Linked DNA regions of Callithrix jacchus. The protein of the gene in region 1 purifies or fractionates together with the protein of each later gene. This does not show direct contact. Links are inferred from orthologs where the notes say so. Each region holds a gene or a part of one and is shown on either strand. Other genes may lie near its edges. The genes, in order: TSPYL1 and DDX24.

Region 1 (4,450 bases):
AGATGCAACCAAACCTTAATCCAAGGTGTATTCACTTCATATTGCTTCTGTAACAAATTACAACAAATTTAATAGCTTAAAAATACACAAATTTATCTTATAGTGCTGGAGGTTATAGGTAATAACCTCAAGGTGTTGGCATTCCTTTGGAGGCTCTAGGGTAGAATCTATTTCCTTACCTTTCAAGCTTCTAGAGGCTACTTTTATTCCTAGGATCCTGGCTCCTTCCTCCATCTTCAAAGTCAGCAACATAGCAATTTCCCTTTCCTTGCTCCCCCTCCTATTTTCCACCATTTCTTCCCTCTTTCTGTGCTTTTGTCCTTACATCTTCTCTGACTGACCCTCCTGCCTCCTTCTTAAAAGAAATATTGTAATTCCATAGGGCCCACCTGTATAATCCAGAATCATCTTCCCATCTCCAAATCTTTAACTGAATCATATCTGTGAAGTCTTCTTAGCCACATAAGACAGGCACATCTTTGAGGGCCATCAGCCTACTACCACACAAGGCAAATTAAGTGGAAAATAATGTTTGCCTCTTTTACACTTTGAGTCAACCAGCTGCATGTTGCTCTTTGCAAGTTTGTTTTCTACTTCAAGGCCACATTGGTTGTCCATTTTAATTAGCCTTTCCTCACAAAATGGTGGTATGTGGCTCCCCCAGCTGATACTTCTCTGAGGCCTTGTAACTCTCTAAGATAACACAAGTTTAACTCACAAGTTAACAAACGGGAACACTTCAACCAGAGACATTGACCTTCCTCTCTAATACTCTTAGCTGATTGCTAAAGACAGATGCCTCATTAGAGCCAAACATTCCTATCTTACTTAACTAAACATAATAAATTAAGTTTATGGGGCCGGAAATAGTTATCATTTCTTCTTTCTTGCAGTGAGGAGGCATGGAACAACATTTAGCAAATTGATCCTGGCTTAATTCCTACCGATATTATGCAGCACAAACTCTTATTTGATGGAGATTATAAATCGAGAATTAGCAATGAATAATACGCATCGCTTTAGTGGTAAGAAGCTGCTGAGTAGCTTCCCCCCACCCCCAGTAATGGTAAAGGCTAGACTTTATATTTTTATGTCACTTTTACTAAGAAGGGGAGAAACATTTTGCTATTCATCTTAGAGAAGCTTTTTGCTCCTAGTTACATGGAGTAACACGGAATAGATTTGCCTTCCTGCCTTGAAAAAAGTGAAGACCGGAAAAGCATTTGTTTTGAGACACTTAAGAGCAGGCACTGTTAGGGCTGTGATTCTACAACTGCTCTCACATGCTGGGGGCAGTCTCCAGATTCATCTCAAGGTGGGTCGTCACAGCTTCCAAACTAAGGACGATCTACATTTCTTTACGTAGGTAAAATGACTGTTGCTATGGGTAAATTCACAGAAGTAAAGCCCAGAGAATCCGGTTGGCTGGCTGGAAGAGGCGGAACCAATTCCGGGCTCAGCAAGGTCTCGCGATACCGTGAGATCTGCAGGCCTGACGACACCGCCGCAGAGACTTCCCTCAGACCCGAGGGTGGGCGGTGCGAGCGGCAGTTACCTCCGAGCGCTGCTTCTCTGAGGAAAACGGGCGTTGACCTGAGGTCGGTCCGACTGTGACCAACATGAGCGGCCTGGATGGGGTCGAGAAGACCCCTCCCGTTCAAACGCACAGCATCCCTATTTCTGACGACGTCTCGGGCGACCCGGACGCACGCCAGTGCCTGAGGCTCCGCGACAAAAGCGAGGCGACACAGGTGATGGCGGAGCTGGGTGAGGGAGGCTCGGAGACCGTCGCGCTCCCGCCCCCGCAGCCTTCAGAGGAAGGGTGCGTACCCCAGGATCCCGCGGGCCGTGGCGGTACTCCCCAGATCCGAGTTGTTGGGGGTCGCGGTCATGTAGCGATCACAGCCGGGCAGGAAGAGGGCCAGCCTCCTGCCGAGGGCCTGGCAGCCGCTTCTGTGGTGGGGGCAGCGGACCACAGCCTGAAAAAGGGCGTTCAGGATGGAGAGAAGGCCCTAGAAATCTGTGACGCCGAGAGGTCCGCGTCGGAGCTGACGGCGGGGGCGGGGACGGAGGCTGAGGAGGTGAAGAGAGGAAAGTGCGCCACTGTCTCAGCAGCCGTGGCTGAGGAGGAGAGGGCTGAGGTGGTGGTGAAGGAAGGCCTGGCGGAGGAGGAGGTAGTGGAGGAGCAGATGGAGGTAGAGGAGCAGCCGCCAGAAGGTGAAGAAGTAGAGGCGAGGGAGGAGGAAGGGCCGTGGCGTCTGCATGAGGCTCTCCGCATGGACCCTCTGGAGGCCATCCAGCAGGAACTGGACACTGTGAATGCTCAGGCCGATAGGGCCTTCCAACAACTAGAGCACAAGTTTGGGCGGATGCGTCGACACTACCTGGAGCGGAGGAACTACATCATTCAGAATATCCCGGGCTTCTGGATGACTGCTTTTCGAAACCACCCCCAGTTGTCCGCCATGATCAGGGGCCAAGATGCAGATATGTTAAGGTACATAACCAATTTAGAGGTGAAGGAACTCAGACACCCTAGAACTGGCTGCAAGTTCAAATTCTTCTTTAGAAGAAACCCCTACTTCAGAAACAAGCTGATTGTCAAGGAATATGAGGTAAGATCTTCCGGCCGAGTGGTGTCTCTTTCCACTCCAATTATATGGCGCAGGGGGCATGAACCCCAGTCCTTCATTCGCAGAAACCAAGACCTCATCTGCAGCTTCTTCACCTGGTTCTCAGACCACAGCCTTCCAGAGTCCGACAAAATTGCTGAAATTATTAAAGAGGATCTGTGGCCAAATCCACTGCAATACTACCTGTTGCGTGAAGGAGTCCGTAGAGCCAGACGCCGCCCACTAAGGGAGCCAGTTGAGATCCCCAGGCCCTTTGGGTTCCAGTCGGGTTAACGTTTGCCCTTGGGAATACTCCTGCACAAGGTCTCCTACCACCACCTGCTGGACCTGTGCTTGGGCAACAGAAATGGTATGCCTTCTACTGTGTTTTGTTTTTGCTGACTTTTCTGCACCCTCTTTCCTTTGGATATTCACTTCTCTCAACCTCAAGATTGAGACGGTGGTGGGTATGCTTCTCCACTTCCATGCTGTTCTGGAATATCACATGCTACGACGCCATCCTTCAGACTACTAAGCCAAGCAAATGATACTGTAGTTGGTACTGCCTTTATTGGTACTGCTTGGACCCTGTTAATTCCCAGGGCCTCTGAACTGGTTGCTATCACCTGGATTTCTAGCTTTGGGAGCCTATTCTATCTACTTAACACTGCATCGGGCAGTATGGGCACATGGCCTGTGGACAGTTACTGAACGTTAATGAACTCAGAGGAGAAAAGCAGTGGAGCTACTTGTTCTGTGTGATTTATGGTACTTCATTGTTCTTCCTTCACCTCTAATCACTCTGTTGCTACCTGCCCTGCTTTGGCTGCTGCCAAGGTCCCTCTCTCCCTCTTCCTTTTTGCTCCTATTTCTCTTTTTCCTTTTTTTGAGACGGAGTCTTGCTATGTCGCCCAGGTTGGATCTCCGCCTGCAACCTCCGCCTCCGGGTTCAAGCGATTCTCTTGCCTCAACCTCCCGAGTAGCTAGGACTACAGGCGCGTGCCACCATGTCCGGCTAATTTTTGTATTTTTAGTAGAGACGGAGTTTCACCATGCTGACCAGACTGGTCTCAAACTCTTGACCTAGTGATCTGCCCGCCTCAGCCTCCCAATCCTGTCTCTTTAAAAAAAAAAAAAAAAAAAAAAAGTAAAAGCTTGGAAATATTTGTAAAAGCAAACTTTAGTTTATTTTGGCTCTGTCATTTTCAGAGACAAAGAGGTTGTCCTGTAAAATACAGCTCTTATTGCTCCCCCCACGCCCCCTTTTCTCTTCCCAACTTTCTATCCCTTTTATCAACTCCTAGAATACTTAAAGGGAGACACATCTGGATGGAATGAAATGTGAGATCTAGTTTATAACGGATGGAAGAACTAAAGAGATTGTGATGGGTGCACTAAGCAGGGAAAACTGAACAAACGGCTAGAGGCATGGGCCAGGTAAAAATTGGGCCTAGAATGAAGACTGAGCTGAGGAGGAAGGAGTACTTACTCCCCAGTGGTGATGAATGGAGAAATACTTTTCTCAGGATAGTTAAAGGATAATTGAAGGGGTTAAAGTGTTAAATTGTTGCCTAGACAAGGGTTCTTTAAAGAAACACAGTGCAACCTTGAATGCTTGCTTTCTTCTTTTGTGACCGAATTTATGTGGAAGATTGTTATTTTACTAGGATTTTGTAAAATCTTATTTTTTTGGTTCTGCTTATTGTGAAAATTGAGCTGTACGTTCTTTTGATTTCACTTGGGAACATTTGGAAGAACAATAGTCTTACTTTCCTGTACAATATAGAAACATATGAATACTTATAATAGTTTTCAACTTGTTCTTGTTTCTGTTAAAC
Region 2 (3,811 bases), on another chromosome or scaffold:
TTGACTCTGAATCTCTTTCTTCTGCTTGTTCAGTTCTATTGCAGAGACTTTCCACAGCATTTCACATTTCTAAAAATGTGCCCAGAGTTTCTTGAATTTTTTTATTGTGTTCTCTTTAAGCTATGTATTTCCTTGATTGTTTCTCCCTTCACTTCTTGTATCATTTTTTGGATTTCCTTGCATTGGGGCTTTGCCTTTCTCTGGTCCCTCCCTGATTAGCTTAATAACTAACCTCCTGAATTCTTTTTCAGGTAAATCAGGGATTTCTTCTTGGTTTGGATCCGTTGCTGGTGAACTCATGTGATTTTTCAGGGGTGTTGAAGAGCCTCGTTTTGTCGTATTACCAGGGTTGGTTTTCTGGTTCCTTCTCATTTGGGTAGGCTCTTTCAGAGGGAAGATCTAGGGCTGAAGGCTGTTGTTTACATGGGGTGTTTTTTGTCCCATGGGGTGTTCCCTTGATGTAGTACTCTCCCCCTTTTCCTATAGATGTGATTGATGCCTATGGATGTGAATGGATTCTATTGATTCCAGGAGTGGCATCAATAGCTGCCATCAAACTGCAGATCTCTCTTCTGGGTCTAGACAACTCCAGGCTAGTACTGGGGGTTGTCTGCACGGAGTCCTGTGATGTGAACCTTCTACGGGTCTCTCAGCCATGGACACCAGCGCCTGTTCCGGTGGAGATGGAGTTTCATCATCTTGGCCAGGATGGTCTTGATCTCATGACCTCGTGATCCACCTACCTCAGCTTCCCAAAGCATCAGGGTTTTTTTTTTTTAAACGCATTCAAATAAAAAATACTGCTACACTGTCTTCTGGCTTTTCATTGTTTCTGGTAAAAAGTCTGTTTTTTTTTTTTTTTTTTTTCTGAGACAGAGCTTTGCTCTTGTTACCCAGGCTGGAGTGCAATGGCGCGATCTCAGCTCACCACAACCTCCACCTCCCGGGTTCAAACAGTTCTCCTGCCTTAGCCTCCTGAGTAGCTGGGACTACAGGTGCGCACCACCATGCCCAGCTAATTTTCGTATTTTTAGTAGAGACAGGGTTTCACCATGTTGACCAGGATGGTCTCGATCTCTTGACCTTGTGATCCACCCGCCTTGGCCTCCCAAAGTGCTGGGATTATAGGCGTAAGCCACCACGCCTGGCCCATTGTTTTTCTTATCAAAAAGTTGATGTGTCTGTTTTTGCTCTCTTTCTTCCTTATAGTATTTTATTTTTGTGTGGTTATTTTTTACTGAGAGCTGCTTATTTTCTTTGAAAATTGTGAAAATTTTTGGGGACCTACGATAAGGGTTTCTCCCTAGAGGAAGCATTTATTGGCTTCTGCCTAGGGCATTATCTCTTTGGAACTTCTTTAAATTCTCTGCCTGAGGTGTTTTGTTTTGACCACCCAGATGATTTGGACTCTGTGTACATTGAAAGGCAAGTTTGAAAATGTTCAGGCATAGACAAAAGTTTTATATTTAAATTTTCTGAAAACTAGGAAAATTTTCTTTTAGTCCTTTCTCACCAAAGAAAGGTCTTAGGAAAGTATTGTATAGATTACCAATTTTCACCCCCCACAACAACACATAGACCCAAAACTTGTCCTTTATCTCTTCATTGTTTCATTTCTTGGATCTAAGACCTAAGAGCTAGCCTGCCATACTTTTCCTTGGGTTCTAATTTACTTGTGCCTTCTGGTTCCTTGGGGTAAAATCTGTGTAGAGTGGAGGAGCTTTCGGTTGGTCAGGGTGGCACTTGGCTACCTTACTCTGTGCAAAAGAATGAATTTCACACTAAAGTATGTTCATCTGTTGATTCATACTGTGTTTATTTTGTTTTGTTTTTTTACTTTTAAGGAAGTGGGAAAACTCTTGCCTTTGCCATCCCAATGATTCATGCAGTTTTGCAGTGGCATAAGAGGAAGGCTGCCGCTGCTCCAAGAAACACTGAAGCACCACCTAGAGAGACCACAACTGAGGCCGAAGCTGAGACCAGATCACCAGGCAAGGCTGAAACTGAGTCTGGAGTGTTGCCTGATACTGTAACTGAGAGTGAAGCACTGCCCAGTGATACTGCAGCTGAGGCAAGAGCCAAGACTGGAGGCACTGTCTCAGACCAGGTGTTGCTCTTTGGTGATGATGATGCTGGTGAAGGGCCGTCTTCCCTGATCAGGGAGAAGTCTGTTCCCAAACAGAATGAGAATGAGGAGGAAAAGCTTGATGAAGAGCAGCCCGGAAATCTAAAACAAGAGTTGGATGACAAAAGCGCCACCTGTAAGGCATATCCAAAGCGTCCTCTGCTTGGACTGGTTCTGACACCCACTCGAGAGCTGGCTCTCCAGGTCAAACAGCACATTGATGCTGTGGCCAGGTTTACAGGTGAGGTTTAGTTCCATTTAATAAATATTTTCTAAGCAAATCCCAAATGCTGGGTGGTAAAGATGAATGAGCTATGCTCCTGCCTTCTAGGGTAAGCCATTCTTACCTATGAGCCAAAGAATTAAGCCCTACAAAAATTAAGTGACATTTTCGCAATTCCCTCAAGGATAATATGTAGTTGGTGCCATTGTAGATGCTTGGGAAATTTATTGGCTACACTGGATGCTCAGGGCAGGGATTAGCAAACTGCCTGGTTTTGTAAAGTTTTACTGGAACACGCCCACACCCATTTGGTTTTATATTGTCTATGGCTGCTTTTGTACTATAAAGGCAAAGTTGAGTAGAGTTAATAGTTGTGACAGAGACCATCTGGCCTAAGAGGCCAGTAATGTTTACCAGGGACCTTTTAAGAAAAAGTTTGCTGATCCCTGCGCTCACCAATTAGGATTTAATTCTCTCAGGGAATTCACTCTGGGAAGGACTTCACTCTGGGTATTTTAATTTTATAACAAAAGCAGCAGTTAATTACCAAGTTGTTAATATGTGCAAAGCACTAAGCCATTCACCTGCATGATACTAAGAAGTTTTCCACTAGAGAAGAAAATAGAACAGGCCATTAGAGGACTTTTCAGAATAGTTCTAATTGAGGGAATGGGAAAGGCTTCCTAGGAGAGGTGTAGCACAGCTGCAGGTAATATTTCCCATAGCATTGTGATACACCAGTGTTCCGTTTTCCCAGAGCTTTGGAAGTAAGCATACATGGGTTCAAATTCAGCCCCTTTGGTGTGGTTGGAGGGGAGAGAGTAGAAAAGAAATGAGGTCAAAGAAGTAGGACCCAGTTCATAGAAGACTTGGTAAGCCTTCTAGGAGTGGCACCAGCAGTCTGGCCAGGCCTGCTCTTTTATCAGTGCTCTAGAGCATTATGCTGTGCTGGTGACTGTCTCGGCTAATCTGGGGTGCTTGTGTCATCCATGTAAGAAAATGAGCACCCAGGTTCAATAAGTGTCCCTTATGTATTCTGTCCCATAGGAATTAAAACTGCTATTTTGGTTGGTGGAATGTCCACGCAGAAACAGCAGAGGATGCTGAACCGTTATCCTGAGATTGTGATTGCCACTCCAGGACGGCTGTGGGAGCTAATTAAAGAAAAGCATTATCATTTGAGGAACCTTCGGCAGCTCAGGTAATAAATGATATCTCTTCTTTCCCCCTCACTGCCTTTTCTGAAACAAGCCTCAGGTGACATGGTGTAGGCAATGCCTTCTTCCCATCGCAGAATGCCATGGTGTGGTATCATCCAGACCCTGGCCTCTAGAAAGCCAAGTGTGCATGAGGGAGATTAGTTGAGGCACGGATGGTGGTGGTGGTGGTAGTGAGGGGTGTGTGTTTGTGTGTGTGTGTGTGTGTGTGTGTGTATGTATGTTTTCAGGATGAGAGTAGGGTGT

Evidence for each region.
Region 2: the proteins of TSPYL1 (region 1) and DDX24 purify together in Homo sapiens (affinity purification with mass spectrometry; 3 studies listed by BioGRID and IntAct, counting the BioPlex papers as one, with this or other methods). This does not show direct contact. The link is inferred for Callithrix jacchus from reciprocal best matches to the Homo sapiens genes TSPYL1 and DDX24.

What each region holds. Positions count from the first base shown.
Region 1 is NC_133505.1:122,618,656-122,623,105, reverse strand, and holds the start of TSPYL1 (testis-specific Y-encoded-like protein 1), read left to right. Parts: upstream 1-1,521; 5' UTR 1,522-1,619; coding exon 1,620-2,906; 3' UTR 2,907-4,450.
Region 2 is NC_133509.1:128,882,429-128,886,239, reverse strand, and holds part of DDX24 (ATP-dependent RNA helicase DDX24), read left to right. Parts: intron 1-248; exon of another isoform or gene 249-348; intron 349-486; exon of another isoform or gene 487-811; intron 812-1,844; coding exon 1,845-2,366; intron 2,367-3,395; coding exon 3,396-3,549; intron 3,550-3,811. UniProt on the Homo sapiens protein: ATP-dependent RNA helicase that plays a role in various aspects of RNA metabolism including pre-mRNA splicing and is thereby involved in different biological processes such as cell cycle regulation or innate immunity.